2 linked regions of the Xenopus tropicalis genome follow. The protein of the gene in region 2 interacts with the protein of the main gene of each other region in a pairwise test. Links are inferred from orthologs where the notes say so. Each region holds a gene or a part of one and is shown on either strand. Other genes may lie near its edges.

Region 1 (4,280 bases), on a different chromosome or scaffold from region 2:
AGTGAGGGTGCCAGTCAGTGAGTGAGTGTATGTAAGAGTGAGGGTGCCAGTCAGTCAGTGAGTGTATGTAGGAGTGAGGGTGCCAGTCAGTCAGTGAGTGTATGTAGGAGTGAGGGTGCCAGTCAGTGAGTGAGCGTATGTAAGAGGGAGGGTGCCAGTCAGTGAGTGAGTGTATGTAGGAGTGAGGGTGCCAGTCAGTGAGTGAGTGTATGTAAGAGGGAGGGTGCCAGTCAGTCAGTGAGTGTATGTAAGAGGGAGGGTGCCAGTCAGTCAGTGAGTGTATGTAAGAGTGAGGGTGCCAGTCAGTCAGTGAGTGTATGTAGGAGTGAGGGTGCCAGTCAGTCAGTGAGTGTATGTAAGAGTGAGGGTGCCAGTCAGTGAGTGAGTGTATGTAAGAGGGAGGGTGCCAGTCAGTGAGTGAGTGTATGTAAGAGTGAGGGTGCCAGTGAGTGAGTGAGGGTGCCAGTCAGTCAGTGAGTGTATGTAGGAGTGAGGGTGCCAGTCAGTGAGTGAGTGTATGTAAGAGGGAGGGTGCCAGTCAGTCAGTGAGTGTATGTAGGAGTGAGGGTGCCAGTCAGTCAGTGAGTGTATGTAAGAGGGAGGGTGCCAGTCAGTCAGTGAGTGTATGTAGGAGTGAGGGTGCCAGTCAGTGAGTGAGTGTATGTAAGAGTGAGGGTGCCAGTCAGTCAGTGAGTGTATGTAAGAGGGAGGGTGCCAGTCAGTGAGTGAGTGTATGTAAGAGTGAGGGTGCCAGTGAGTGAGTGAGGGTGCCAGTCAGTCAGTGAGTGTATGTAGGAGTGAGGGTGCCAGTCAGTCAGTGAGTGTATGTAGGAGTGAGGGTGCCAGTCAGTCAGTGAGTGTATGTAGGAGTGAGGGTGCCAGTCAGTCAGTGAGTGAGTGTATGTAGGAGTGAGGGTGCCAGTCAGTCAGTGAGTGTATGTAAGAGGGAGGGTGCCAGTCAGTCAGTGAGTGTATGTAGGAGTGAGGGTGCCAGTCAGTGAGTGAGTGTATGTAAGAGTGAGGGTGCCAGTCAGTGAGTGAGTGTATGTAAGAGGGAGGGTGCCAGTCAGTGAGTGAGTGTATGTAAGAGTGAGGGTGCCCAGTGAGTGAGTGAGGGTGCCAGTCAGTCAGTGAGTGTATGTAGGAGTGAGGGTGCCAGTCAGTCAGTGAGTGTATGTAGGAGTGAGGGTGCCAGTCAGTCAGTGAGTGTATGTAGGAGTGAGGGTGCCAGTCAGTGAGTGAGTGTATGTAGGAGTGAGGGTGCCAGTCAGTCAGTGAGTGTATGTAGGAGTGAGGGTGCCAGTCAGTCAGTGAGTGTATGTAGGAGTGAGGGTGCCAGTCAGTGAGTGAGTGTATGTAGGAGTGAGGGTGCCAGTCAGTGAGTGAGTGTATGTAGGAGTGAGGGTGCCAGTCAGTGAGTGAGTGTATGTAGGAGTGAGGGTGCCAGTCAGTGAGTGAGTGTATGTAGGAGTGAGGGTACCAGTCAGTGAGTGAGTGTATGTAGGAGTGAGGGTGCCAGTCAGTGAGTGAGTGTATGTAGGAGTGAGGGTGCCAGTCAGTCAGTGAGTGTATGTAGGAGTGAGGGTGCCAGTCAGTCAGTGAGTGTATGTAGGAGTGAGGGTGCCAGTCAGTCAGTGAGTGTATGTAGGAGTGAGGGTGCCAGTCAGTCAGTGAGTGTATGTAGGAGTGAGGGTGCCAGTCAGTGAGTGAGTGTATGTAGGAGTGAGGGTGCCAGTCAGTCAGTGAGTGTATGTAGGAGTGAGGGTGCCAGTCAGTGAGTGAGTGTATGTAGGAGTGAGGGTGCCAGTCAGTCAGTGAGTGTATGTAAGAGGGAGGGTGCCAGTCAGTGAGTGAGTGTATGTAAGAGGGAGGGTGCCAGTCAGTGAGTGAGGGTGCCAGTCAGTCAGTGAGTGTATGTAGGAGTGAGGGTGCCAGTCAGTCAGTGAGTGTATGTAAGAGGGAGGGTGCCAGTCAGTCAGTGAGTGTATGTAGGAGTGAGGGTGCCAGTCAGTCAGTGAGTGTATGTAAGAGGGAGGGTGCCAGTCAGTGAGTGAGTGTATGTAGGAGTGAGGGTGCCAGTCAGTGAGTGAGTGTATGTAAGAGGGAGGGTGCCAGTCAGTGAGTGAGTGTATGTAAGAGGGAGGGTGCCAGTCAGTGAGTGAGTGTATGTAGGAGTGAGGGTGCCAGTCAGTCAGTGAGTGTATGTAGGAGTGAGGGTGCCAGTCAGTGAGTGAGTGTATGTAGGAGTGAGGGTGCCAGTCAGTGAGTGAGTGTATGTAAGAGGGAGGGTGCCAGTCAGTGAGTGAGTGTATGTAGGAGTGAGGGTGCCAGTCAGTGAGTGAGTGTATGTAAGAGGGAGGGTGCCAGTCAGTGAGTGAGTGTATGTAGGAGTGAGGGTGCCAGTCAGTGAGTGAGTGTATGTAAGAGGGAGGGTGCCAGTCAGTCAGTGAGTGAGTGTAGGAGTGAGGGTGCCAGTCAGTCAGTGAGTGTATGTAAGAGGGAGGGTGCCAGTCAGTGAGTGAGTGTATGTAAGAGTGAGGGTGCCAGTCAGTGAGTGAGTGTATGTAGGAGTGAGGGTGCCAGTCAGTCAGTGAGTGTATGTAGGAGTGAGGGTGCCGGTGAGTGAGTGAGTGAGTGAGGGTGCCAGTGAGTGAGGGTGCCAGTGAGTGAGGGTGCCAGCCATTGCCCGTACTTACCCTGTCACCCCACAAGCGGCAGATTCGGTCCCAGAGCTCCCAGCCCTTCCGTTTCCGCCCTGGTCCCGTCAGTGAAGCCAAACTCAGCTGAAACCGCAGGTGACGCTACGCGCATGCCTTCTGAGAACCTGTCAAGGACGTCACTTCCGGTGCAAAGGGCCGCCCTGAATATAATTCCGACTGGAAAACTGTATTTCACAGACGTTTCGCTGCTAGAGGTCCGGCTCCCTACAGCGCAAAGCCCTCTTGTAGCGGATATTCGCTCACAGTATCTTCCTGCTCATCTATTAAATTAGCCAATCACTGTATCTCCAGGCGATTAGTGCCCGCCCCCCTGGATAAGATCTACTAAAAACAGAAAGCGGCAGGGACCAAACAGCATGAAAGGGCAAAACGTACGATTAATGGGGTAGCGATGAGCTGCTCAGGCCTGTGACGGGAGGTGAGTAGGGAAGGACACAGGGGTACCCAGGGGCACCCTAGGACTTGTGGGACGGGAGTGCAGGGGGGGCAGGATTTGGGGAGTAGAACTGGGAAGAGAATTTGAGGGAAATGGAAGGTGGGGGGGGGGGGGGGTTCTACAGTTCATGAGTCTGAATAGTATGAGAGGTGGGAGCTGCCCTACTGCTTGTGTAGCCCCGGCACCAACATGTCTTCTCTCTCCCTGTAAGGTCAGAATGGTGAGAAAAGGAGACACCCCAGGTGCATCCAGACTCCCTGCATCTCGTCTGTAACGGCCATTGTGTTCCCCCCATCCCTGCATCACCCCAGCCCAGGGGGCAAAGGGTAAGTACCATGGATATGAAATATATACTGCACTCCATAGGTACAACTGGTTACATTGAATTGTAAGCTCACTGGGACTGAGGGGAATGTGATGGGGACCTTAGATTGTAAGCTCACTGGGGCAGGGACTGATGGGAATGGGATAGGGACCTTAGATTGTAAGCTCACTGGGGCAGGGACTGATGGGAATGGGATAGGGACCTTAGATTGTAAGCTCACTGGGGCAGGGACTGATGGGAATGGGATAGGGACCTTAGATTGTAAGCTCACTGGGGCAGGGGCTGATGGGAATGGTATAGGGGCCTTAGATTGTAAGCTCACTGGGGCAGGGGCTGATGGGAATGGGATAGGGACCTTAGATTGTAAGCTCACTGGGGCAGGGGCTGATGGGAATGGTATGGGGCCTTAGATTGTAAGCTCACTGGGGCAGGGACTGATGGGAATGGTATAGGGGCCTTAGATTGTAAGCTCACTGGGGCAGGGGCTGATGGGAATGGGATAGGGACCTTAGATTGTAAGCTCACTGGGGCAAGGGGCTGATGGGAATGGGATAGGGACCTTAGATTGTAAGCTCACTGGGGCAGGGACTGATGGGAATGTGATAGGGACCTTAGATTGTAAGCTCACTGGGGCAGGGACTGATGGGAATGGGATAGGGACCTTAGATTGTAAGCTCACTGGGGCAGGGGCTGATGGGAATGGGATAGGGACCTTAGATTGTAAGCTCACTGGGGCAGGGGCTGATGGGAATGGGATAGGGCCCTTAGATTGTAAGCTCACTGGGGCAGGGGCTGATGG
Region 2 (3,500 bases):
ACAAGTGACAGGGGCCCTACAGAGCCCCCATTGCTCCTGTGCAGGCAGGGATTCTGGGTAATATGGAGGGGAGGGGCACAAAGTCTTATTTCTCCCATGGTGCTATGTGTCCCACATTGGCCCCCATTTCCTCTTAAAGTGCCTGTGAGAGAGTGTGAGTGAGTGTGTGAGTGAGTGTGTGTGTGTGTGTGAGTGTGTGAGTGTGAGTGAGTGTGTGGCTGTGAGTGTGAGTTAGTGTCTATGAGTGAGAGTGTGCATTTGAGAGTGTGTGTCTGTGAGTGAGTGTGTGTTTGAGAGTGAGTGTGTGCCTGTAAGTAAATGCGATTGAGTATTTGAGTGAGTGTGTGAGTGTGTGTTTGAGAGTGAGTGTGTGTCTGTGAGTGAGTGTGATTGAGTATTTGAGCGAGAGAATGAGAATGAGTGTGTGAGTGAGAATGAGTGTGTCTGAGTGTGAGTGAGTGTATGCCTGTGAGTGTGAGTCTATGAGTGGGAGAGTGTGTAAGTGTGTCTGTGAGTGAGTGTCTATGAGTGAGTGAGTGAGTGTGATGTAGTATGAGTGAGTGTGTGTCTGTGAGTGAGTGTGATTGAGTATGAGTGAGTGTGTGTCTGTGAGTGAGTGTGATTGAGTATGAGTGAGTGTGTGTCTGTGAGTGTGATGTAGTATGAGTGAGTGTGTGTGAGTATGATGTAGTATGAGTGAGTGTTTGTCTGTGAGTGAGTGTGATTGAGTATCAGTTAGTGTGTGTCTGTGAGTGAGTGTGATTGAGTATGAGTGAGTGTGTGTCTGTGAGTGAGTGTGATGTAGTATGAGTGAGTGTGTGTCTGTGAGTGAGTGTGATGTAGTATGAGTGAGTGTGTGTCTGTGAGTGAGTGTGATGTAGTATGAGTGAGTGTGTGTCTGTGAGTGAGTGAGTGAGTGAGTGTGATTGAGTATGAGTGAGTGTGATTGAGTATGAGTGAGTGTGTGTCTGTGAGTGTGATGTAGTATGAGTGAGTGTGTGTGAGTATGATGTAGTATGAGTGAGTGTGTGTGAGTATGATGTAGTATGAGTGAGTGTTTGTCTGTGAGTGAGTGTGATTGAGTATCAGTTAGTGTGTGTCTGTGAGTGAGTGTGATTGAGTATGAGTGAGTGTGTGTCTGTGAGTGAGTGTGATTGAGTATGAGTGAGTGTGTGTCTGTGAGTGAGTGTGATGTAGTATGAGTGAGTGTGTGTCTGTGAGTGAGTGTGATGTAGTATGAGTGAGTGTGTGTCTGTGAGTGAGTGTGATTGAGTATGAGTGAGTGTGTGCCTGTGAGTGTGATTGAGTATGAGTGAGTGTGATTGAGTATGAGTGTGTATGTCTGTGAGTGAGTGTTATTGAGTATGAGTGTGTATGTCTGTGAGTGAGTGTGATTGAGTATGAGTGAGTGTCTGTGAGTGAGTGTGATTGAGTATGAGTGTGTATGTCTGTGAGTGAGTGTGATTGAGTATGAGTGAGTGTGTGTCTGTGAGTGAGTGAGTGTGATTGAGTATGAGTGAGTGTGTGTCTGTGAGTGAGTGAGTGTGATTGAGTATGAGTGAGTGTGTGTCTGTGAGTGAGTGAGTGTGATTGAGTATGAGTGAGTGTGTCTGTGAGTGAGTGTGATTGAGTATGAGAGAGAGTGAGTGTGTAAGTGTGTCTGAGAGTGAGTGTAAGTGAGTGCCTATGAGTGAGTGTGTGTCTGTGAGTGAGTGCCCATAGAAAGGAAATTAGATTGTAAGCTCCCTTGTCTCCCCGATAACCCCACTTGGTGCCCCTGGTACCGGTGCTGGGTCCAAGTCTGAGTCTCGGGCACATTCTCCAGGTAATTCTCCGGTACCAGCCCATGACAGCCGGTTCGGTTGGACACGGCCATTACCCATCCCTCTGGCGCCCCCGACACTCGGGTCCGATCGACGAACACAATATCCCCCTCCGTGAGTGTCAGCTCATCGGGATTCTGTGGTTCAAATGGGAAGAGAGTGCGCAGGGTCTGGGGGGGACACAAGAGAGGCCGTATTGTCCCCATGTCCCAGCATGCCCTGGGGCTGATACCCCATATTAGGGAATGAGCCCCAGGGTATCCTGTTGCCAGGGTGATGGAAATACTCTAGTCATGGGCGGGGCCAGGGGTTACTGAACTATTTTTTTTTCTTTTTTCATGGGAAACAGAGACGGTTCCCCCCAAACCTATTGAGCCCCCCGACTCCCCCACCCACGGCGCAGTTCCAACAGGGGGCAGCAAAATGCATTTGGGCCCAGTGCCCTTTCCTGACTTTCCTTTTTTTTTGGAGAGTTACACCTACTTCCTGGCACTGCTGGGGGGCAACAGTGTGCAGAAGAGCTCACAATCTGTAATTCCCTGTAATTGCCTAGGAATTGCCCCAAATCCTGACTCCTGCCCTCCAATGCCCCCACCCCTTCTGAACTTACCCCTTGCCCCTCCCCCTGCCCCAAATACCTGATAGTAAGCAAATCGCATGTCTCTGGAGAAAAGGACCGCCTCCCACTCACAGCTCTGGGCGGGGCTGATGGACTTGGCCAAGTGCTCTAGTGTCCCCTGGTGGTGGGGCGAGAACTTGTGAGCGAGAGTGAGGTGCAGCTGCTTGGAGAGCGGTCTCACCGGACAGTCTGAAGTAGAAAGAGCGTCAGCTGAGTGGGATCAGAGAATAATCCCTATTGGCTGCTGGGAATAATTTAACTATTGACATTCTGCGCTGAAACCACTAATAACCGTACCCTTCCCACCCCCCCTCCCTCCCCCACAACGGAATTCATTGACTCCCCGGAGTGATAACCAATAGCACAGGGGAATGTATTTCCTGCGACTCACATGTCTCTACTTCCTGTCTGGCAGGGAATTAGCCACTCAGTATCACTTTATGGCAGGAAATCCATGACTTTGTTGTATTGACTCTCAGAGCAGAAGATAAAAGCCCCCAGAGGGGGTAACATTGTTCTACCAATAAATGGGTCCCTCAGGCCCCAGTGGTACCAGGAAGGGCAAGATGTGCCCCCAAAGGCCTTACCTGCCCCCTTTGCCACCTCCTCAGAGAAGCTGCCCATGAAGCTGCGGATGATGGAGGCCTGGGCCTCGCTGATAAAGAAGCCAATGAAGGAGCTGGAGGAATAGAGGGAGAGGGTGATGGAGCGAGGGAAGGAGCCGCGGGTTTCTTCTCCGGCCGCTCTGAGCGCCCAATGTAGAGTCTCCACCTTCCGATCCTCACACTGCGCAGGGGAGGGACAAGATGGCGGAACGTCAGTCCTCAGCGTTTCCTCACGGAAACCAACCCCCACAGATACTGCAGATCCCCCTCCTCGTAGCCAATTACTGAGCCGACTGTAACTGCAGATCCCCCTCACCGTAGCCAATTACTGAGCCGACTGTAACTGCAGATCCCCCTCCCCGTAGCCAATTACTGAGCCGACTGTAACTGCAGATCCCCCTCCCCGTAGCCAATTACTGAGCCGACTGTAACTGCAGATCCCCCTCCCCGTAG

Evidence for each region. The genes of interacting proteins can lie anywhere in the genome.
Region 1: the proteins of ubash3a (region 2) and fgfr1op2 interact in binary tests that used the Homo sapiens proteins (3 or more experiments, as listed by UniProt). The link is inferred for Xenopus tropicalis from reciprocal best matches to the Homo sapiens genes UBASH3A and FGFR1OP2.

What each region holds. Positions count from the first base shown.
Region 1 is NC_030679.2:2,582,704-2,586,983, reverse strand, and holds the start of fgfr1op2 (FGFR1 oncogene partner 2 homolog), read right to left. Parts: upstream 2,801-4,280; 5' UTR 2,697-2,800; intron 1-2,696. UniProt on the Homo sapiens protein: May be involved in wound healing pathway.
Region 2 is NC_030678.2:150,459-153,958, reverse strand, and holds part of ubash3a (ubiquitin-associated and SH3 domain-containing protein A), read right to left. Parts: intron 3,229-3,500; coding exon 3,030-3,228; intron 2,632-3,029; coding exon 2,462-2,631; intron 1,994-2,461; coding exon 1,785-1,993; intron 1-1,784. UniProt on the Homo sapiens protein: Interferes with CBL-mediated down-regulation and degradation of receptor-type tyrosine kinases. Promotes accumulation of activated target receptors, such as T-cell receptors, EGFR and PDGFRB, on the cell surface.